Linked DNA regions of Kluyveromyces lactis. The protein of the gene in region 1 purifies or fractionates together with the protein of each later gene. This does not show direct contact. Links are inferred from orthologs where the notes say so. Each region holds a gene or a part of one and is shown in the gene's direction. Other genes may lie near its edges. The genes, in order: SPT6, RPB4, POB3, CKA1, CKA2, RPB3 and SPT16.

What was found.
Region 2: the proteins of SPT6 (region 1) and RPB4 purify together in Saccharomyces cerevisiae (affinity purification with mass spectrometry; 3 studies listed by BioGRID). This does not show direct contact. The link is inferred for Kluyveromyces lactis from reciprocal best matches to the Saccharomyces cerevisiae genes SPT6 and RPB4.
Region 3: the proteins of SPT6 (region 1) and POB3 purify together in Saccharomyces cerevisiae (affinity purification with mass spectrometry; 4 studies listed by BioGRID, with this or other methods). This does not show direct contact. The link is inferred for Kluyveromyces lactis from reciprocal best matches to the Saccharomyces cerevisiae genes SPT6 and POB3.
Region 4: the proteins of SPT6 (region 1) and CKA1 purify together in Saccharomyces cerevisiae (affinity purification with mass spectrometry; 3 studies listed by BioGRID, with this or other methods). This does not show direct contact. The link is inferred for Kluyveromyces lactis from reciprocal best matches to the Saccharomyces cerevisiae genes SPT6 and CKA1.
Region 5: the proteins of SPT6 (region 1) and CKA2 purify together in Saccharomyces cerevisiae (affinity purification with mass spectrometry; 3 studies listed by BioGRID, with this or other methods). This does not show direct contact. The link is inferred for Kluyveromyces lactis from reciprocal best matches to the Saccharomyces cerevisiae genes SPT6 and CKA2.
Region 6: the proteins of SPT6 (region 1) and RPB3 purify together in Saccharomyces cerevisiae (affinity purification with mass spectrometry; 9 studies listed by BioGRID, with this or other methods). This does not show direct contact. The link is inferred for Kluyveromyces lactis from reciprocal best matches to the Saccharomyces cerevisiae genes SPT6 and RPB3.
Region 7: the proteins of SPT6 (region 1) and SPT16 purify together in Saccharomyces cerevisiae (affinity purification with mass spectrometry; 5 studies listed by BioGRID, with this or other methods). This does not show direct contact. The link is inferred for Kluyveromyces lactis from reciprocal best matches to the Saccharomyces cerevisiae genes SPT6 and SPT16.

What each region holds. Positions count from the first base shown.
Region 1 is NC_006038.1:995,001-999,197, reverse strand, and holds the start of SPT6 (chromatin-remodeling histone chaperone SPT6), read left to right. Parts: upstream 1-1,397; coding exon 1,398-4,197. Other genes in the region: high-affinity Cu transporter CTR1, read left to right, coding at 1-855. UniProt on the Saccharomyces cerevisiae protein: Histone H3-H4 chaperone that plays a role in maintenance of chromatin structure during RNA polymerase II transcription elongation thereby repressing transcription initiation from cryptic promoters.
Region 2 is NC_006037.1:539,818-542,332, reverse strand, and holds RPB4 (DNA-directed RNA polymerase II subunit RPB4), read left to right. Parts: upstream 1-1,412; coding exon 1,413-2,015; downstream 2,016-2,515. Other genes in the region: serine/threonine protein kinase YAK1, read right to left, coding at 1-788; KLLA0_A05775g (glycosyltransferase family 15 protein), read right to left, coding at 2,065-2,515. UniProt on the Saccharomyces cerevisiae protein: DNA-dependent RNA polymerase catalyzes the transcription of DNA into RNA using the four ribonucleoside triphosphates as substrates. Component of RNA polymerase II which synthesizes mRNA precursors and many functional non-coding RNAs.
Region 3 is NC_006038.1:444,718-448,299, forward strand, and holds POB3 (FACT complex subunit POB3), read left to right. Parts: upstream 1-1,414; coding exon 1,415-3,082; downstream 3,083-3,582. Other genes in the region: DAK1 (dihydroxyacetone kinase), read left to right, coding at 1-972. UniProt on the Saccharomyces cerevisiae protein: Component of the FACT complex, a general chromatin factor that acts to reorganize nucleosomes. The FACT complex is involved in multiple processes that require DNA as a template such as mRNA elongation, DNA replication and DNA repair.
Region 4 is NC_006041.1:381,416-384,495, forward strand, and holds CKA1 (casein kinase 2 catalytic subunit CKA1), read left to right. Parts: upstream 1-1,458; coding exon 1,459-2,580; downstream 2,581-3,080. Other genes in the region: CAP2 (F-actin-capping protein subunit beta), read left to right, coding at 200-1,039.
Region 5 is NC_006042.1:1,518,384-1,521,322, forward strand, and holds CKA2 (casein kinase 2 catalytic subunit CKA2), read left to right. Parts: upstream 1-1,416; coding exon 1,417-2,439; downstream 2,440-2,939. Other genes in the region: SLD7 (Sld7p), read right to left, coding at 174-956. UniProt on the Saccharomyces cerevisiae protein: Catalytic subunit of a constitutively active serine/threonine-protein kinase complex that phosphorylates a large number of substrates containing acidic residues C-terminal to the phosphorylated serine or threonine.
Region 6 is NC_006040.1:1,362,309-1,365,049, reverse strand, and holds RPB3 (DNA-directed RNA polymerase II core subunit RPB3), read left to right. Parts: upstream 1-1,317; coding exon 1,318-2,241; downstream 2,242-2,741. Other genes in the region: protein translocase subunit TIM44, read left to right, coding at 1-61; KLLA0_D16192g (uncharacterized protein), read right to left, coding at 469-834; 1-(5-phosphoribosyl)-5- ((5-phosphoribosylamino)methylideneamino)imidazole-4-carboxamide isomerase HIS6, read right to left, coding at 2,489-2,741. UniProt on the Saccharomyces cerevisiae protein: DNA-dependent RNA polymerase catalyzes the transcription of DNA into RNA using the four ribonucleoside triphosphates as substrates. Component of RNA polymerase II which synthesizes mRNA precursors and many functional non-coding RNAs.
Region 7 is NC_006042.1:906,785-910,777, forward strand, and holds the start of SPT16 (chromatin-remodeling protein SPT16), read left to right. Parts: upstream 1-1,193; coding exon 1,194-3,993. Other genes in the region: KLLA0_F09867g (uncharacterized protein), read right to left, coding at 1-966. UniProt on the Saccharomyces cerevisiae protein: Component of the FACT complex, a general chromatin factor that acts to reorganize nucleosomes. The FACT complex is involved in multiple processes that require DNA as a template such as mRNA elongation, DNA replication and DNA repair.

The sequences.
Region 1 (4,197 bases):
ACTAGTACTTCCAGTTCTATGTCTGGAATGGACATGGATGGTGGTTCCGAAATGACTGGAATGAACTCTTATCTCACAAGAAAATATATGAACTATCCCGTTGTCTTTGAGAAACTCTATGCTTCTGATCGCGGTGAAGCATTTGGTATCTTCTTGCTTATCGTTGTTGCTGCCTTTGTATACAAATTCTTGTTATTTGTGAGCTGGTACCTAGAATTGAAATGGTTCAAGAAGGCAGGAGTCAATGAGGAAGCTGAGAACGATGAGGCTACAGGTAAGAACGTGTTATATACTATCGAAGATCTGGAATTACAAAGGCAATTCTTGCCAACTAGTTTCGGCAAATTCATGTTCAACGTTTTCGCCCCAGACTGGGTTGATTTCTTCCATGATTTTGTACGGTTATTGATCACTTTTTGTTCTACCATGATAATATATATGTTGATGCTTGTTGCTATGACATTCGTACTTGCATACGTGTTTGCTGTCATACTCGGGTTATCTCTGGCCGAAATCTTCTTTAACAGAATCAAGATCAACATGTTGAAGGCATGGGAATTGAAAAAGGAATGGGAAAGACGTTTCAAGCTTTGCCAATGTGGACCTGGCCCATCTGCCTCTACCGATGATACTAGGTCCTTTGCATCTAGCAAAGCCACTGCTGACGCCGGCTCTACTACACCTCTAAACACGTTTAAATCGTCCGAAAAAGTGCCAAAGAAAGTCGGATGCTGCTGCAATGGTGATGAAGATCCAGAGGAAGAAGCAGAAAGAAAAATTAGAGGCATTGCTACTCAAAGAGAACAGGCGGGAAACATGAACGTAGATTTATTACCTGCTGAAAATTTCAAATAATCTAAGGCTTTTCCAACGTGCTAGAAGAAATGGAATGAGGGTCTTGTGCCATTTAGGTTACTTCAGCTCCTGCTTAGTATTAATCTTTAAATCCTATATATCATGCGTATAAATAATTTAATGACTCGGATAAACAGTTAATATCATGAATTGGCATATAATTTTGAAGTTCGACTGGTTAAGGAATGGTCCACGCATATCAACTATTGTATAAGTTTGGTAAGACTGCTAGGTAGTCGCTCATCTGTCACCAAGTCTTTATATTTTATCACTTCGTACGTGTTGAAAAGTTTGGTTCTGGTTGAAAAACATGGAAATTGGGAATTGAATCTTTAAACGCATTCGAATGATAATTACACGAACGAGTAGTGTTTCCCTTTACTTTAAGACATATAGTAAGAAAGATTGAAATCAGTTCATTACTTGTATTGGTAAGATATACCCAACATCAAGATACGGATCATCTGTTTGTCTTTTTTCCATTGATTCTGTGTGTTTTTCTGCGGATATTCCATATATATCCATATTGGTAAGAAAGCACCATGTCTGACAAAGAGGACGAAAAGCAGTCTCAGCCCGTTTTGAAGGACGACAAACAAGACCAAACTGAGGAGCCTGCTATTGACGATAATGTCAATGGAGATGAAGGCCCAAGTGACGAAGAAGAAGGAGACGATGTGTTTGATTCCAGCGAAGAAGATGAGGATCTAGACAACGATGAAGAAGAAGCTCAGAAGGTGAGGGAGGGCTTCATTGTTGATGACGATGAAGAAGGTGGAGAAGAAGATGAAGTCGTCAAAAAGAAAAGCAGGAGAAAGAGACGTGCTCGTGAAGAAGAAAATGAAGCCTTAGATGAGGATGATTTAGACCTTTTGATGGAGAATGCTGGATTCAAACGTCCGTCAGCTTCAGAGGCTGCCAAACAACGTAGCGGTAAATTAAAGAGATTAAAGAGGGTCGGTGATGATGAAGAAGAATCGGCTTCGGCGGAACCAGAGTCTGAGGTGGCTCGTACCAATAAACTTGACGATTTCTTCTCAGAAGAAGAAGAAGAGGAAGAATTAGAAGATGATGGTACTGGCAGAGCTCCAAGCAGAAAGGGTGTAGAAAAAACAGTCACTTTGGCTGATGATATGGATGATTTCATTGAGGAAGATGAGTTTTCTGACGAAGATGAAGAAGCTAGAAAGTTTAGAATCGCTGAAAAGAAGAGAATTAAGGAACAAAGGTTGGCCCAGCCTACACAGATTACTGGATTATCTCCTGATAAAGTGGATGAAATGTTTGAAGTTTTCGGTGACGGTCATGATTATGATTGGGCTCTTGAACTCGAAAATGAAGAAGAACTGGATCGGCTTGAAGAATCTTCAGAAAACGAACAGGATGAAAATGAGCTCGGTATCGATTCCAAAAGGAAAAAGAAGCTTACTTTGCAAGATATTTACGATTTGCAAGATTTGAAGAAGAACTTGTTAACTGAAGAAGATATGAACATCAGAAAGGCAGACATTCCAGAGAGATACCAAGAGTTGAGAACAGGATTGAAGAACTACGGTAAACTATCGCCAGAAGACCTTGAGCTTGAAAAGAACTGGATTAGTGACAAGATTGCAGTAGATAAAAATTTTGATGCCGATTACGATACTACGGAATTCAAAGAAGCCATTGGAAATGCTATCAACTTCATTCAGCAGGAAAACCTCGAGGTTTCATTCATTTATGCTTACCGTCGTAACTATATCTCTTCAAGAAGCAAAGACGGATTTGTGCTAATCGAAGATGACTTATGGGATATTGTATTTTATGATACCGAGTTCCACAGTATCATTTACAAGAGGGACTACGTGAAAACTTTCTACGAAAAGCTGGATATTCATGATCCAATTGTGGATGAATACTTCAGCAATCAATCCATGACAGAGTTGAACTCCTTACAGGACATTTATGATTACGTTGAATTCAAATATGCGCAAGAAATTAATGATGTACTATTGTCCACGCAGCAGGACGCAACATCCAAGAAGCATTTGAAAAACTCAAGTTATGAAAAGTTCAAGGCCAGTGCATTATACCAAGCTATCAATGATACTGGGATTACTGCAGAACAAGTTGGTGAAAATATCAGTGCTGAGCATCAACTTCATCCGGTTGTTGATCACCCTTCATTGAAACCTACTGATTCAGTAGCAAATATTTTAGAAGGACCAGAGGCCAAGGATCTTCAGATTTTCTCCCAGAATCCTAAATTGGCGTTAGAAACAATCGAAAAATACTACGCACTAGAGCTTTCTAAAAATCCTAAGGTAAGGCAAAAGATCAGAGATGACTTTTACAAGTACTATATTGTGGATGTTGCATTGACTTCAAAAGGTAGAAAAGAGATTCAAAGAGGTTCCCCATACGAAGATATCAAATATGCTCTTGGTAGAACTCCAGCCCATTTCCGCTCAGAGCCAGATGTCTTCTTACGGATGTTAGAAGCCGAATCTTTGCATTTAATGAACATTCAGATTCATGTGTCTTCTCAAGATCAATATACTAATCATCTTTTCCAAACATCTCTCGAAACAAGTAACACCTCAGAAATCGCTTCGGAATGGAACTCTTTCAGAAGAGATGCTTTTGACTCTGCTCTAAACAAGGTATTCTCTGATGTCAGCCAAGAAATCAAAGATGAATTGAAGAAAACATGTTTGCGTCTGGTTACAAAATCCGTCCGTCATCAGTTCATGTTCAAGCTTGATCAGGCACCATTCATTCCTAATCCAAAGGACCCTAAGATTCCAAGAGTTCTAACCATCACTTGTGGACAGGGTAAATTTGGCTCTGATGCGATCATTGCAGTTTATTTGAACAGGAAGACAGAATTTGTAAGAGACTACAAGATTGTTGAAAATCCATTTGATAGAAAAGAACCGGAGTTGTTCGAAAATGCATTAGACGACATCATTCAGCATTGCCAGCCAAACGTCATTGGTATTAATGGTCCAAACCCAAGTACGCAAAGGTTATACAAAAAGATACAGGAGATTGTTCAGAAGAAACAAATCGTCGATAATAGAGGATCTCATGTTCCAGTTATTTACGTTGAGGATGAGGTTGCTGTGCGTTATCAATCATCAGAGCGTGCGGCACAAGAATTCCCAAGCAAGCCTACATTGGTGAAATATTGTATAGCTTTGGGTCGTTATATTCATTCTCCATTGTTGGAATACGCTAATCTAACAAATGAAGAACTGCTATCTTTGTCAATACACAGTCATCAGTCCCTATTGACTAGGGAGCTATTTTTACAAGCCTTGGAAACTTCTTTCGTAGATATTGTGAATTTAGTTGGTATTG
Region 2 (2,515 bases), on another chromosome or scaffold:
GTCTTGCTGCTTAATGAAGCACGTCTATATTTCGGTGTGGAATGTATAACGGGATTCAAGTCCTGTCTCGTAAATATCTTGTTGAATTTAGGGACAATAATTATTGGAGAAGGTGGCCTTGACGACGGAAGTGAACTTGAGCCGCCACGCGTGCTCATGTATGCACCTGCAGTAGCGGGATACACAGAAGAATTTATGGAGCCAGCCATATATCCCGCAGTATTAATTCCAGGTTTCCTAAGCTGAGATGGTTTCGTTACCTGCTGTGGCGAAAGTTGACTGCCACCAGTGACAGCAACCGACTGCCTTCTTTGTGCATCATTATAGTTGGGAAACGGTTGCTTCTCATAAAGGAACGGATCAGGCCCTGCCGCACGCGCAGGTGGTATTACTAAAGATGAGTTTCTCCTTCTGAACTGTTGTGAGGATTCATCTACAGCGTTATCTTCTTCGTAAGTAGTGGGCAAGGGGAAGTTGGATTGCTTCCTCATAGTAGACCTCTGAGACTCAGGTATCTGGGGAATCTCTTGCCATGGGTTTTTGAATATCGATTGACGTGGCGACTGCATTTGGAAACCACCAGCCGCATTTCCGCCTTGTTGCTGCCCTGCATATATATTCCCGCCTGCATTGGAGCTACTCCCAGCTGGCCCATCAGGCGCAATCTCTGGGCCCTGATTCTGGGTATTTGCCTGCGTCTGAGAAAAGTTCTGGTTCTGATTCGAACTCGACGCTCCCTGCTGAGAAGCCATGAACGCAGGGTTCCAAAGGCTATTCTTATCCCCCATTTATTATATATCAGATTATAGTCAACGTCTAACCACGTTATTGCAGCAAAATATTAGAAAAGCCTCTCTTCCAACAAAGAAATGACCAATTCACAACTCAAAGTTTCAACGGAAATACCTTTTAAACGTTATATCGACTGAATAACCCTGAGTTTCGCTTAAAGAACTTATAGCAAAACAGTAACAGAAACAAAACCAGCTAAAGAATGTACGCCTTCCTATATTAAAAAACAGCTAAATTCGAATCTGGCTATACCTAATCACGATGAGTACCAAGTACATACAGCGCTGCCCTAAAAATAAGCCCTGGTGTCCTGTACAAACAAACAGCTTTGCCAAGATTCACTTTAATACCTTAAATACAGAGAACATTCATGTCATGAAGTCATAGGGCCAATATTCTGATGTTGAGTTTTCGCATAATTACCGTTAGGAAAAAAAATGGAAATTCAATTACGATTAAAACGAGAGGTAAACTAACTTTGTCACTCGAAACATCAACTGGAGTTACATTTATCTAAGTTGTACCGTTGTCAAAGTGGCTGATTACTGGAATAGCACTTTTTGTGATTACACTCGTCTACTTTTTTGGACCGCTCTTATAGATAACAGCTCGAATTTACCATGAATACATCTACATCCACTGTTCAAACCAAGAGACGTGGGTTGAAGAAGTTTGTTGAAGAAGAGAATGCTGCCACTTTACACTTGGGAGAAGAGTTTAATTTGAAGCAAATCAACCATCAGGGGCAGGAGGAAAACCTAGTGGCTTTAAATTTGAGTGAGTCTCGTTTGATTATAAAGGAAACGCTACAGAACCGTCGGAAATTATTCAAGACATGGGCAAGCAATGGTGCATCAAATAAGGACGATGACATGGATGATGAAGATAACGTCAATGTGCATACCCAAACACAGGAGAAAGAGTTACAGGATATAGATAGATTGCTTGAACAGACCACTGGTGGACAGAATCAAGCGTTGAAGCAGACCATGATATACCTAACGAATTTTTCACGTTTCCGTGATCAGGAAACAGTAACCGCTGTATCACAGCTTTTATCATCCACAGGGTTGCATCCATTCGAAGTGGCGCAATTGGGTTCTCTATCGTGCGAAGATGCAGATGAAGCCAAGACTCTAATTCCAAGTTTAGGAACCAAGATATCTGACGAAGATCTAGAAAGAATCCTAAAGGAATTATCGAATTTGGAAACTTTATACTAAAACCTATGTACTATATCTTATATATATCCCCGGTTTCACCTCTGCTCCATCATCTAATAAATAGTTTGCCGGCACCGTTTTTCCACCATCTCATCAAGCAACTGTTTGGGTGGATGGGAATATTAGATTCGCCGTTAGGATCACACATACAACGGAGCACTAATCGTGCTGATATGGACGTGGGACATGTTTCAAATGGAACATGGCTGTATCCAATTTCATCAAAGTGGTGGATTTCATTCTTGTCTAGAAGTAATGAGGCACCTATACTGTGCACGGGTGCATCACCCCAACGTTCATAATAAAACCCACCCTTGGAGTCCAAGTAATTGAAATACTGAAGATACTCGTCACTTCTAAAGAAATTTAGATCTCCAATTTCGAAATTGGACCAGAAATGACATAGATTATAGTCTGTATTCGAATCAACAACAGGGAAAAAACGTCCCACCATCGTGGTATCCGTCAAAAAGCTTAGACTGTTGTTAGGATGTAGAATT
Region 3 (3,582 bases), about 550 kb from region 1:
AAAAAAGACGAGGTAGTTCTCCTTGTCAACAATTTAGGTGGTGTGTCTAACTTCATCTTAACTGCCATCGTTGATATCACGAAATCTTTTTTACAAAAGAATTATGACATTACTCCAGTTCAAAGTATTTGCGGAACTTTAATGACATCTTTCAATGGAAATGGATTCAGTATCACGTTGTTCAATGCGTCAAAGTCATCTGGAGCTATCAAGAAGGAGTTCAGCGAAGTAAAATCTGTGCTTGACTTATTAAACGACCATACAGAGGCGCCAGCATGGCCAATAAAAGATGTCGAAATGGGTAAATCTCCTACATATGACGAGGGTATTCTCGAGGATGTTATTGACGTTAAAAAGGCTGGAACATACGACTTCGAGAAATTATCGGAGCTGTTGAAGGCAGGTGCCGATCAATTGATTAAAAGTGAACCTCATATTACACATTTGGATAACCAAGTTGGTGACGGTGACTGTGGTTATACGTTAGTAGCTGGCGCTAAGGCAATCACTGAAAACTTGGATAAAATATCCTCCAAGTATTTGTCTCAGACCCTTGCAGAAATTTCTGATCATATTGAATCCGCAATGGGTGGTACATCCGGTGGTTTGTACTCTATATTCATTTCGGGCCTTTCAAAAGGAATTATTGAACAATGCGGAGAAAATGATGCGGTGGACAAAGAAGCCTTCGCCAAATCGCTAGAAGTTGCATACGAGACATTGTGTAAATATACTAGAGCTAGGCCAGGTGATTCTACTATGATCGATGCCTTGGAGCCATTCGTGAAAGAGTTTAGTTCAACTCAGGACTTCCATAAGGCCTTTTCCAAGGCGGAAGGAGGTGCAGAATCTACAGGAAACTTAGAAGCCAAGTTCGGCCGTGCATCTTACGTGGAAGACACTGAAGCAATTCCGGACCCAGGAGCTATCGGTTTGGTCGAATTCCTCAGGGGTGTTGATTCCAAATTGTAGATTCATTTTCAAATGAGCTGCCTCCTTTATTCTTTCCACCTAGTTATTATTTTATAACAAACTATATACAGCTTCCTACATTAACCAAATTTATGACCTAGCGGTAATTGCAGTATCATACATTGTTCCTCCGGCAACAGGGGGGTGGGCCTCGACCTGATAGTTCTTCGTGTGTAAAAACTGTCTCTTTTCCGTTCACTCCCCCATCTTACCTCTTGTCAACGTGACGCGAATTGGAAACTTTACTAGAAATGAAAATGAAAAATCGCCAAAGTGTTTAAGATGTTGTTAAAACATGAACAAATAAGAAGACATATGAAACCGTTAACGGTAGGCAGAGTTGTTAGCCCATAGTTTACGTTAGACAGGTCAGTATTACTGAAATCTAGTGATCTTCGTCTTGGATACCTACTTTTTATTTCTTATATTGGGATAGTGGAGAATGAGTACAGATTTCGATAGAATTTATTACAACCAATCCAAGCTCGGTGGACGTTTCCGTCTAGCTGAAGGAGGTCTTGGTTGGAAGGCATCCGCTACAGGTGGGTCAGCCTCTACTCAAAATAATGAACCTTTGCTATTGGCTGCAGATGAGGTTTCTTCCGTTCAATGGAGTAGAGGATGTAGAGGCTACGAATTGAAAATTAGTACTAAGAATAAGGGATTGATTCAAATGGATGGGTTCCAACAAGAGGATTTCAACCTATTGAAGAATGACTTCCAACGTAGATTCAACATGCAATTAGAGCACAGGGAACATTCTTTACGTGGTTGGAATTGGGGTAAATTGGACTTAGCTAGAAACGAAATGGTTTTTTCATTGAACGGTAAGCCAACTTTTGAAATCCCTTACACGCACATCAATAACACTAATTTAACAGCAAAAAATGAGATTGCATTAGAATTTGACACCCAAAATGAGGCATATAATCCTGCAGGTGATGAACTTGTTGAAATGAGGTTATATGTTCCAGGCACAGTTGAAGAAAATGAAGATCAAGATCAAATCATGGTAAAGGACGAAGCAGAAGCAGAAGACGGTGTTAAGTCGGAGGTTAAGACGGAAGAGGGTAGTGAAGAACCAGACGTTCAAGAAGAGAAGACTTTAGCAGAATATTTCTACGAAGAATTGAGATCTAAGGCAGATATCGGTGAAATTTCTGGTGATGCCATCATTTCTTTCCAGGATCTGTTCTTCACTACGCCAAGAGGCCGTTACGACATTGATATCTACAAAAACTCTATCAGACTTAGAGGTAAGACTTATGAGTACAAGTTACAACATCGTCAAATAAACAGAATCTTCTCTTTGCCAAAAGCTGACGACATCCATTACTTGATGGTTTTATCGATTGATCCACCAATCCGTCAAGGTCAGACATCCTACCCATTCTTGGTGTTACAATTCCAGAAGGACGAGGAAACAGAAGTCCAACTAAATGTGGAAGATGATGAGTTCGAAAAGCTTTACAAGGATAAACTAAAGAAACAATACGATGCTAAAACTCACATTGTACTAAGTCATGTCTTAAAGGGTTTGACAGGAAGAAGAGTCATTGTTCCTGGTGAATACAAGTCTAAGTATGACCAATGCGCGGTATCCTGTTCATACAAAGTCAATGAAGGCCACTTATACCCATTGGACAATGCGTTTTTGTTCTTGACGAAACCAACCCTATATATACCCTTCCAAGATATTGCTGCGGTCAATATTTCAAGAGCTGGTCAGACATCTACATCAGCCAGAACATTCGATTTGGAAGTTGTTATGCGTGCCAATAGAGGTACTACTACTTTTGCTAATATTTCTAAAGAGGAACAACAACTTCTAGAGACATTCTTGAGGTCCAAAAACTTGAGGGTAAAGAACGAAGATAAGGAAGCAGAACAGAGACTGCAGACTGCCTTCGGCTCAGACAGCGATGATGATGATGTAGATATTAACATGGGTTCTGCAGGTGAGGATGAAGAATCTGTAGATGAAGATTTCCATGCGTCCGACGAAGATGACGATGTCGCTGAAGAATTTGATTCAGAAGCATCCGCCTCCGATTCAGAAGGTGAAACCTCAAAGTCTGAAAGACCTTCCAAGAAAGCCAAGTTGGAATGAAAAACTCATATATCATGTATTAGTACAAATAAATAAATAAAAAACTATATACACTCCTCGCGGTATTTGTCGAATAATGTGTCTTTCTTTTGTTTGATTGACTAGTTCTTTAATTTTTAGTACATCTAAATGGCTTGACAAAAGAATAAGGGTCCCATCCAGAGAACTAAACTTCAAAGGGTTGAGAGAAGGATAATTTTGCTAAGCCCGTAAAAGTATCGACTGCTTTTTTCATGCTTCAATCATTTAATGGTTCTGTAAGAGTTATTCTATGACTTCTGGTGAAAGATCCTTAAATCAAGAACTAGAATGATGAAATGAATGCACAAAGAAATTTTGATCCAAGATAACTCGCTTCATACATTCGAGGTATATTAGATATTAGTATGATAGCTACAGACGGTACCTTAACTATAGAATATATCATAGAGATTCCTGGAGTTGACGAATTGTCCGGGAATAGTTTCTTTTTCACTATAAGAAAAGATTCATAGCTAAAC
Region 4 (3,080 bases), on another chromosome or scaffold:
CTTCTACTTTATTTTACTAGTGTAAGCGATACTGGCAATGTCTCTCAATAGAAAAATATCATCGATCGTATTGAAAGGAAAACTACGAAAGAAATCATTAAAGGAGTAGAAAGGGTAAATGTAAATACATCAAGCAAACTGAAGAAAACTCATTGAGCGTGGTAACTAGTTGTAAATATACTGAAGATACGGAACTAGAATGTCTGTGGACGAGAAATATGATGCTGCTTGCGAGCTTTTATACAGATTGGATCCAACAAAGGTGAAAACCCATTTACAGAACCTTATTGCGTTGGAGCCTGAAATCGCAGAAGGATTACTTTCCTCAATTGATATCCCATTGACCATTAAGAAGGATACCGATGCTAACAACAAAGAATTCTTATGTTGCGACTACAACCGTGACATCGATTCTCATAGGTCACCGTGGTCTAACCAGTACTTCCCTGAATTGAGTGCCGAAGATTTGAAAGAAAGTCCTTTTCCCAGTGAGCCATTGAGAGAACTAGAAGTTGCATGCAACAATTCTTTCGAGTTGTATAGGGACCTATACTACGAGGGTGGTTACACTTCAACGTATCTCTGGGACGTTGATGAATCAACTGATTTCGCGGGAGTCATTCTTTTCAAGAAAGCTGAATCAGATGATTCTAAATGGGACAGTATCCACGTCATATCTGCCACCCACGATGAAGAGGGTATGGAAGTCACATATAATGTCACTACAACGGTGATCTTGCACTTGGAAAACCTATCAAAAGAACAACAACTATCATTGTCCGGTAATCTAACTAGAGAAAATTCCAAGACCGTAAAATTGCAAAACGTATCTACTGTTGAACAGCTAGTACCCGCTCACTCTTCCAGCTTGGGATCTATGATTGAAGATATTGAATCTAAGCTTAGATCAATGCTCGAAATCGTGTATTTCGAAAAGACGTTGGATATTTACAACGTGTTGAGAGAACGTAACGATGATTCTACCAAATTGCAAAAGGAGCAACACTCCGAATTAATTGAAAACTTCCAGAAATTATAATCAATTGAATAAATAAAGTAAGAAATTATACACACATACACTACGTATAAATGCTAAATGAACACCATTATATTTTGCCGGTTCGTCAGTCAACACAATTATTGGCTAGAATTGTTCTATACATAAAACCGTTACCCTAACTCCTCATACTGTAGTTTCGAAATGTCAATTTTTGCAAGAGAGACATGAACTGAAAAGAAATCAGATAACCCAGAAATGAAAATTCCAGTTTGAGTATAGGCATTACAAAAGCTTCAAACGTACTGGATTATATACGGTGAGTGGTTTGGATTTCTCGGACTCATTATTACCACTGTTTATAGAAATAGAAAAGGTCAACAAAAAACTGGCTGGCAATCGTTCTCGTTGTTAATTTCGTGGTAGTTTTAGAGACTTTCCAGTACATTATTAAAAGGAAGATGAAATCGAAAGTGTGGAGTGAGGCAAGAGTCTATAGTGATGCCAACGAGATTCGTGGTCAAAGATACTGGGACTATGAAAATACATCAATAGAATGGAAGGCTAATAACTCACAGTACGAAGTTGAATGCAAAGTTGGCCGTGGTAAATATAGTGAAGTTTTCCAAGGCGTACAGTTATCCACGAGAAATAAGATTGTCATTAAGATGCTAAAACCTGTGAAGAAGAAGAAGATTAAGAGAGAAATTACCATACTTGCAAACCTCTCGAATGAGAAGAATCCGCCAACTGCGCAACCTTACGATGAGGCAAAATATTACACAAACAGAAGAGAAGAAGTACTGAAATATGCGAGAGATAAAGTATATGACTTACCTCATAACGGGCATGAGAATATTATAACATTGTTAGATGTGGTCAGAGATCCCATATCCAAGACACCTGCATTGATTTTTGAACATATCGACAATACGGAATTCCGTAGGTTGTATGCTTCATTTTCGGATCTTGATATTCGTTATTATATGTTCGAGCTTTTGAAAGCTTTGGACTACTGCCATTCGATGGGTATTATGCATAGAGACGTCAAACCACACAATGTAATGATTGACCATAAGCAACACAAATTGAGACTAATCGATTGGGGTTTGGCTGAATTTTATCATCCATCGATGGAATACAATGTCCGCGTTGCGTCAAGATTTTTCAAGGGCCCAGAACTTCTAGTTGATTATAGAATGTACGATTACTCGCTAGACTTATGGTCATTTGGAGCAATGTTAGCATCAATGGTTTTTCTGAAAGAGCCTTTCTTCTATGGGTCGAGTAATACTGACCAGCTAGTCAAGATTGTACGCGTCTTGGGTAGTGATGATTTCGAAAGATATTTACAGAAATATCAGATAACACTCCCAGATGAGTTTATTGATATGGATCAATACATCAGAAGACCATGGCAGAAATTCGTCAATGATTCCAACAAGCACCTATGTGGAAACGATGATATCATTGATTTAATCGATAATCTTCTTCGTTACGACCATCAAGAAAGATTTTCTTGTAAAGAAGCTATGGCTCATCCATGGTTTGCTCCAATTAGAAACAACGAATACACATTATAACCGTTCCATAGATCAATATTTTTATGAAGTTAATAATAATAATAATACTAATAACAACTGTGTGAGCTTTCCTATAATAAGTGTTGGAGGATATATTTTGATCGGGTGCTTCTAAATCTACGAATTTATTATTGACATTCATTGAGAAAGTTTTCAGATGTTGTGGAACTGTTTTGATCCTGAAGCTGAGCCCAGTCAAGCATTTGAAATTCTGCAATGAACGTTTTGTCTTTCAACATCAATAACTCACTCTGAACATACCTCTTGCTTTGAAGGATATTACATCCGTCACAATGAACTTCTCTGCAGTGTTCCAAAATCGATGACAAAATCTGTAGACAGAATCTGAATGCTAGTCCGAAATAGGGAACAATAGGAATTGTTAATCTTTTTCCGAACTTCATAAGATATTCCCACCTTTTCTGGAAAATAACGTGAAAGGCAGAATCCGTTCCTGCCTTTAAATCACTCCAAAATGTTTGTGAATCCAGTAATTTCTC
Region 5 (2,939 bases), on another chromosome or scaffold:
ATAAGTAAACGATGTGGCTTGTCTGTTAACTATATTCTGGAAATATGTCAGCAAAGGAAATAAAAAAAAACTAAAAATCCGTTGCAGCGATGAACTGTGAACGGTTCAATTAACGTAAATGCGGTGAAAATTTGTTTACTTTTGTCTATGTATATGCATGTACTTCTTGAAAGTCAGGTCTTCGTAAACAGTTTCAGTAGTGTTTCTACACAGTCTTGGATCGATTCAAAACTAATGGGTTCAGTTTCTCTGAGTTCGTCTCTGAAAGCGAATTCAGACGCCTTGTACGTCATCTTGTACAATTTTTCGTGTTGAGTTCGATGAACTCCTCGTAGCCTGAGTCCTGAAAGTATGCACTGAGACAGCAACGACATAAATTGCTGCTGTTGATCGTTGAGCAAGACTTGTTTGTTCAACGAGTTACTTTTCAGTATTCGCTGACGTTTGTTCTTCTCTAGAATCGATTCGATCGACATCGTTGCTCCAGCGTTACTTGGCACAACAGATTGTAGTTCGTCGGCTGATAACGGTATCAATTTCTTATCAAGTTCGTGTTTAGTCGATAAGTGAAGTACCATCGATTCAATTTCGAAAGACGCGTTTATATCGGTCTTCAAACGCTTGTAGAATAGGAAATATTCGAATTGCTCTTTCGTCAACACTTGGGATCCCGTTACTTTACATACAATTCCTCGATTCCTGTGTCGTTGTCTCATCAACTTCGCTCTGAAATAATTGACGCTGGTCTCGCTAGTAGTGAAGCATTGGTACCGTTGACCTCTATTGAGCCAAAACGGCAGCTTATCAATGTTGACCATTCCAACAACTTCTGCCAGACAATTTTTCACTGCAATTTGGCCATCACCGTCCTCAAATTCACGCCACAACTGGACGTCTCTTATCACAGTGTTATGACCCACATTAAGCCTCAAGATAAGTTCTTTTTCTAGTGTCATAGGTTCATCGCGCAACTCTCCAGGTCCAATTCCCCTAATACCAGGCCTACCGAGGTCTTCTTTCACGTTTGCTACTTTCACTTAACAATTTGAAACTGACCAGACAATGTATTCACCTCCTTTATAGTCTTAGTTTCCCTGTATATGAAAGTCCGCCGTTGTATTGTGGTTCACGGTGCAAAAGCTTAGCTTATATCCATTGTTACCATACGAATCTTTTTTCTCTCGACGCTTTCACGGCTCCAAACAAAATGCTTTCAGTTTTCAACATTGAAATAAAGTGAAGGCAAAGAAAAAAAATGTTATTGCTCAACGTAATTGAACAATAGACAGCCAGAAGTTGGAAGTGGTTAGAGACTACAGAGGCTAGAGAGTACCGTTTTGGATCACATCAGACTCTAAGTTTTGAAAACGGGAAAAGGGAGGTCATCTCTTTTTTTTTTTTGATTTCCTTCTCATCATGTCGACGTTACAACCTTCTGCGTTGAATAAGAAGAGCAAACGAGTTTATAGCGTTGCTAGGGTGTATCAGGATGCTTGTGAGAAACGCCCTCAAGAGTACTGGGATTATGAACAATGCGTGATGATTGATTGGGGTAAGATTTCGAACTATGAAGTGATAAAAAAGATTGGTCGTGGTAAATACAGTGAAGTTTTCAAAGGGAAATCTGTATTGAACGATATACCATGCGTCATCAAGGTTCTCAAGCCAGTGAAGATGAAGAAAATTTATAGAGAGTTAAAAGTGTTAACTAATTTGACAGGGGGACCTAATATAATTGGATTATTGGATATTGTTCAAGATCCAGGATCCAAAATCCCGGCATTGATCTTTGAAGAGGTGAAAAATGTCGACTTCCGTACGCTTTATCCATCGTTTACATTATCGGATACGCAATTTTATTTCACACAATTGTTAACTGCTTTAGACTATTGTCATTCGATGGGTATCATGCATCGTGATGTGAAGCCTCAAAACGTCATGATTGATCCTAATGAACGTAAGCTAAGGTTGATCGATTGGGGATTAGCAGAGTTTTACCATCCGGGAGTGGATTATAACATCAGGGTGGCGTCTCGTTATCACAAGGGACCTGAACTCTTGGTGAGCTTAAACCAATACGATTACTCTTTAGATTTGTGGGCTGTCGGATGTATGATAGCAGCTATTGTTTTCAAGAAGGAGCCATTTTTCAAAGGAAGCACGAATGCAGATCAATTGGTGAAAATTGCCAAGGTACTTGGTACGCAGGAGTTATTCTATTACTTGAAACATTACGGATTGGATCTTCCTGCAGAATACAACGATATCATGAAGAACTACGAACGGAAACCATGGAGCTATTTCGCCAATGATAAGACGCCGTTGGCTGTGGACGAAATAATTGATTTGATCGACCATTTACTACGTTATGATCACCAAGAGAGATTAACTGCAAAAGAAGCCATGGAGCATAAATTCTTCAAAAAAGATTTCTCATAGTGTATGCCTAAACGGTAATATATATCTGTTTTCTCATCTCTCTATCATCAAATTTTCTTTTCCCTCTTATCTTCCATTTATGGTTAACTTTGGGGGATTCTTCTTCTGTCTTTGATTGCTTTCCAATTAAAAGCATGTATACTAATAACATATAATTAATACAACACCTGAAAAAGAGGACAGAAACACATGTCTCTTTTGCTTAAGATTTAAAGAAGATGTAATATTATGATAGTCGTTAATTCATTAAAAAGGATATATAATTAATAGGTGTAATAGCTACCAAACCTGAAAGAAAAGGCTCTTACTAGCGCAGGCGCAGAGAGAGAGACACTACTATAAGTAGGAAAGGAAATAGACCAAAGGAATATGAAACAGGGTGGAAATAGTTACAAAAACCCATGATCGAAACTATTATTGCGGTGAAAGTTCAGTGATGAGAATTGAAAATGCCATTATTATTAGTCTATATTTCTCAATCACAGGGAAAAAAACAATCT
Region 6 (2,741 bases), on another chromosome or scaffold:
GGAAACCGAAGGTTGGAAGATCCTCGAATTTGTCCGTGGTGGTTCCAGACAATTCACTTAATGACCATGACTCCGAAATTTTTACTCAGTACAAAAATAACAAATAATAATGATACAAAGCCAATACCTTCCCAACCTTCACTTACTATCGCTCTGGAATAGATTCATGAGTTCGTTATTTGGAAAAAACGGTGGCGGAACACAGCTTTCACTACCTAATCCTGTTCTATATTGCATGCCTGGTAATGTTATTCTTGGATTACTGCGAACTATCAGAGCGTATGAAAGAAATAAAGTGTTGGTTTTGGTCGTAATGTACATTAAATCATCATCATACTAAGTTAGTTTATATTTTACTATATAGATTATCGTCGTTTCTGTTTGACGAAGAAGGAACAGAACGACGACAAGAGAATTCGTGTTAATAGTATCCTAATCCTTCTATAATCCCTAGGAGAAGAAGTTCAGTTATATGTTTCTTGGTGGCCTGTATATCGCATTCTTACCAAATAAGTTCCTAATTATACTTCTGCCAATATTACGTCCTGCTTGTCTGCAATATTGTAACCATGGCTTGGCAACGATATAAAATAACGAGAGAAAGACACCCTGCAAAAATGGACTTATCAAAATATCTCTAGCAACAACTTTTGCAACGATATATGGTGTAATGGGAGGATCTACGACAGATCCATCAGCCACCGATAGAGTTAATTTATTCTGTTTCAAAGCTTCTTTCCTCAAGGACTGCTTAAAGGTCTGTTCAAATCGCAAATCTGGCAATGACGCCTTTACTGAAACTTTCTCATCCACACGGGCAATTCCTTTAGGCATGGTAAAAGGCTGATTATCTGTGGATAACTCACCTTATTTTAAATTCGGTGATGTGTAATTGTACTTGATATTTCGCCTATTGCGTGGGATCAGCTTTCTAATATGTTCAAAAACCGATTTGAAGGTCCTACAAAGAAGAAATAATGCTAATAAGAAAGAAATGGGGCCACTATTGTTCGAAGAAGTTAACTATAGGTAATAAAGGCTATATATACATGACTCCGAGCAATATTATTCTTAGCTGAGCCTATTTGAAACAGTATTGATGGAATAGTCCTATGCACGTGACCAAACGCTGCCAAAGCTCAAAAATTTTCCAACTGAACAAAAGTGAAAAATTCATAAAACAATAATCGAATGCACCAAGGGAACGAGAACAAATCATTTCGTTGCTGTAGTTTGGTCAATACTCTGGTATTTGATTGAGCAAGGAGCAGGTCATATCTTAGGGAGAAATCAGAGTTTAATACTGCGAAAGAACAAATGAGCGAAGAAGGTCCCCAAGTAAAAATTAGAGAAGCAACCAAGGACAACGTTGACTTTATACTTTCTAATGTCGACTTGGCTTTAGCAAACTCGTTACGTAGAGTCATGATATCTGAGATTCCTACACTAGCCATCGATTCTGTTGAGATTGAAACTAATACTACTGTGTTGGCAGATGAATTTATTGCGCATAGACTTGGGTTAATTCCATTACAAAGTGCAGACATTGATCAAGTTGTATACTGTCGTGACTGTTACTGTGAAGATCACTGTGACCGTTGTTCAGTAGAGCTAATACTACATGCTATCGGTGAGAGTGAATCCACGACGAACGTTTATGCTAAGGATTTGCAGATTACCAGCGATTTGAAGGGTAGAAATATTGGCCATCCAATTATACAAGACAGAGAAGCAAATGGTGTATTAATCTGTAAACTAAGAAAGGGACAAGAGATAAGAGTGAAATGTATCGCTAAGAAGGGTATTTCAAAAGAACATGCGAAATGGTCACCATCAGCAGCTATAGAGTTTGAATATGATCCATGGAATAAGTTAAAACACACAGATTACTGGTACGAACAGGATGCAAGGGACGAATGGCCTCAATCTAAGAATTGTGAATTTGAAGATCCTCCTAACGAAGACGAGGATTTCGACTACAGGGCCAAACCTAATACATTTTACATAAACGTCGAGTCTGTTGGTTCCATCACTTCGGAACAAGTCGTCGTACGTGGTATCAAAACTTTACAGGATAAAGTAGCCGACATATTATTCTCATTAAAGAAGATGGACCAAGAGAAAGTTAATTTCGCAGCAGGAGCTGTATCTACGCACGTATCACAACAAGTGCCGATGGAAGAAGATATGGATCCTTATGGAGGGCCAGTAGGAGGCTCAGGATACGATGATGCATGGTGAGACAAGACAACAAGAAAAAGCTACCACAATTATCGTGAAAGGCAACGATTTTTCTATAATTCATTGACGAAACACAAGGCATATATTCCTTAATACTAGCATACTCAAAGGCACTAGCAGCATCTGCTACCATCCAATCTACCACGTCCGTTCAAAAGTTGAACGGTCAAAAATGTTTCAATATCTCTATCTCTATATAGAATGTTTATTTCCATCGAAAGTGTAACTATTAGACAAAGACTGGAAGCTAAGCGTGTTTCTCATGGTTCCATTGGACACAGTCCTCGAACTTTACAAGGGATCCACCAAAAATATCAAGAGCACTACCAAAGGTCAAATCAATTTTGCCATGACTCAATTTCTCTACTAGCCTTAAATCATCCACACTCTTAGCGCCGCCTGCGTATACGATTTTCACTTTTGGAATATCCGCAGTCCATTTGTACAAATGAGCCACTAGCTCTTCATCAATCCCATTACATAGACCCTCTACATCTGCT
Region 7 (3,993 bases), on another chromosome or scaffold:
CGACTTTTCCTGCAATTCTATCTGGAATTGTTCATAAGTGAAAGGTTGCAACGATCGTTGGTATAAATTCGGATGGCGTTCACAAAGGTCGGCAAATAGATGAAGAGACTGCAAAAGAAGACTTGCTAATGTGAGGTGTAGAGAGTAATCCCCAAGACTTCTCTTATTAGATACCGACAGGTTGTACATTTCCGGATAAATAGTTATCACTTCGTTAATAATATCGATAGCATACGCTGAAAGGATATTGAGTCTTATGGCTAATCCATCCAAAGTTTCATCCCTAAGTGCTTCCTTTATCTTCTCTACTCCCTCAGTTAAATCACCTGCAAGAATTTGGTATGCAGAGAGTACAATAGGAAGTATTTGCACTTCTAACTCTTTAGCCCATCTGTTTATATTTCTTCTTGTAGCCAAAAGATCATCGGATGCCTTGGAAAACAATTCGTCATCATGCTCAAGACGTCTTCTTTCTGAGTCTATTCGCATGAAGGCGAATATAAATTCGCTGCTGATTTGCTCCGCAAAAGTAATTTCTCGCGACATAAAATGTGCAAATCCTAAATAAAACTTTCCAAGATCTATTACATCGTTCTTCCCATCATACATCACCAAAAAAGGATACTTCTTCCTCAATAATTCTGTTAGTTTCTCGCTATCCAGATGGTTAGCAGAACTTAAGTTGTTCCCACTCATTATTTTGGTACAAATAAACCAGTGAACCACCCCGATGTGATTATAGGCTTTGATGTTGATATACACCCAATAATGAAAAGTAAACGTGCACTTTCCACTGTTAACTTCTATTATAGTCATCCTCGGTTCAAAATACATTGGAAGCATCTTAGTATGGAATTGATCTCCAGTCACGTGAAGAGAATCAAATCCGTTTACAGTGATATATTCTCCCTTTAACCTGAATTTTTCAAAATTTAGTAAAAAAAAAACGCGACGCCAATAATGCATATATTATAGTTTTAAATTGAAGAGTAACATTAATAATTTTTGCAAACTATACCCATTGTTTAAGAGCTGGCAGGAAATTAAAGCAAAGGGACTCTTTGGTACTTTTATTGAAATAACCTGCAAAGCATTTCGTGGCTCGGTATTTCAAACTCATTGTTCTATTAGGCGTGGCAGTTGTCTTTTTTGGTTAGATATTGAGGACCCCATTGTGCTAATCTCAAGTAACAATGAGTGACGGAGGAATTGAAATTGATTTCCAAGCCTTTTATGATAGGTTTACAAAATTAGGGAAGGCATATTCTGGATTTGAAGGTTCTCCAAATAGTCTTCTCTTTGTACTTGGTTCGACTAATGAGGAAAACCCTTATCAAAAGACCACCATTTTGCATAATTGGTTGCTAGGGTATGAGTTTCCAGCTACATTGATTGCCTTTTTCAAGGATAAAGGTGTCATCATAACCAGCAGTGCTAAGGCGAAACATCTTTTGCCCGCTGTTACTAAGTTTGAAGGATCAGATTACAAACTTGAGATCTGGCAAAGAAATAACAAGGATGCAAATCACAATAAGAAATTGTTTGAGGACCTCATCAAGCTGTTATCAGAAAACGGTAATACTGTCGGTGTCCCAACGAAGGATTCATATCAAGGTAAGCTCATTCTTGAATGGAAACCGCTTTGGGAAGAAGCTAAAAAGACGCATTCTTTAAACGTAATCGATTGCTCTGCTGGTTTGTCTTCTACTTGGAAGGGCAAAGATGATAAGGAAAAGGCTTACCTTTCTGTATCCAGTAAGGGATCTGACAAATTCATGGATCTTATGTCAAATGAAATCGTCAATGCTGTTGACGAAGAACTAAAAATATCAAATTCTAAGTTGTCAGATAAAATTGAAAACAAGATAGATGATTCCAAGTTTTTGAAGAAACTTTCAAGTGATCTAAATCCTTTGTGTCCTACCGACGAGAAATTCGACGTTAATTTCCTTGATTGGGCCTATTCTCCAATTGTGCAATCAGGTTCTAAGTTCGACCTTAAGGTTTCTGCTCGTTCTAACAACGACTCACTTTTCGGAAAGGGTTCCATCCTAGCCTCATGCGGTATCAGATACAAGAATTACTGTTCCAATATCACCAGAACTTTTTTGATTGACCCGACAGATGAAATGACTGACAATTATGACTTTTTATTGATTTTGCAAGAGAAGATCATCGATGATTTATTAAAAGTAGAAGCTGATCCAACATCTATTTATGAAAAGACACTGGAATTCATCAAAGAAAAGAAACCGGAATTATTATCTCACTTTACTAAAAATGTTGGTTCTTTGATGGGGTTGGAATTTAGAGACTCTGCTGGTATGATCAATGCTAAACCAACCGCTCATAAAATTTCAGAGAATTGCTGTTACAATATTTCACTCGGATTTGGGAATTTAAAGGATAGTAAAACTGGTCAGGTATATGCTGTTCAATTAGCAGATACCGTTCAACTTTCTTCTGATGGAAAGCCATCCACTTTGACCAAGTACACAAAGGCTAGATCCCAAATCTCGTTTTACTTCAACAACGAAGAAGAGAACAAAGCTGCAACTGTTAAATCTGAAAAAAGCAAGCCTCCTGCTTTACCAAAACCTGATGGTACATCGAAGATTTTGAGATCTAAGCTACGTGGAGAAAGTCGTGCTGACGATGAAGAGAAAGAACAAATCCGCAAAGAGAACCAAAGAAAACTTCATGAAAGATTACAGAAGGAAGGTTTACTCAGATACAGTGATGCAGATGCAGTAGATGGCGATGAGAAGCCAAAGCATTTCTTCAAAAAGTACGAATCTTACGTTAGGGAAACTCAAATACCATCCAATGTACGTGATTTGAAGATTCATGTCGACTGGAAGAGTCAGACAATCATTCTACCAATCTATGGTAGACCTGTACCTTTTCATATCAATTCATACAAAAACGGTTCTAAAAATGAAGAAGGTGAATACACTTATCTCAGATTGAATTTCCATTCTCCTGGTGCTGGAGGTGTCGGTAAGAAAACTGAGGAGTTGCCGTATGAAGAGAACCCAGAGAATCAATTTGTTCGTTCTCTAACTTTAAGATCTAAGGATGGTGCTCGCATGAGCGATGTTTTCAAACAAATTACTGATCTTAAGAAGGAATCTACCAAACGTGAACAGGAAAGAAAAGCTTTGGCTGATGTTGTTGTCCAGGCTAAATTGGTGGAGAACAAAACTGGTAGGACTAAACGTTTGGACCAAATCTTTGTCAGGCCTAGTCCCGATACCAAGCGTGTGCCAGGTACGGTGTTCATTCATGAAAATGGTATCAGATACCAGTCTCCATTGAGGACAGATTCAAGAATTGATATCCTATTCTCAAACATCAAGAATCTATTCTTCCAATCATCAAAGGGAGAACTTATTGTGATCATTCATGTTCATCTAAAGAATCCTATTTTAATGGGTAAAAAGAAGATCCAAGATATTCAATTTTACAGAGAAGCATCTGATATGGCTGTCGATGAGACAGGAAACAGCAGACGCAACAACATGAAATTTAGAAGATATGGTGATGAAGATGAATTAGAACAAGAACAAGAAGAAAGAAGAAAACGTGCTGCCCTTGATAAAGAATTTAGATATTTTGCTGAAGCTATAGCAGAGGCATCCGATGGTCTCCTAGATGTAGATTCTCCATTTAGAGATCTTGGTTTCCAAGGTGTTCCTTCTAGATCAGCCGTGTTCTGTATGCCAACGAGAGACTGCTTAATTCAATTAGTTGAACCGCCATTTTTAGTCATAAATTTGAACGAAGTTGAGATTTGTATACTTGAAAGAGTTCAATTTGGATTGAAGAACTTTGACATGGTCTTTGTTTATAAAGATTTGACAAAGCCTGTTTCTCATATAAACACTGTACCAATTGAGCAACTTGAATTCATTAAGACATGGTTAACAGATGTTGATATTCCATATACTGTTTCTACAATTAACTTGAACTGGTCGACAATCATGAAGTCGC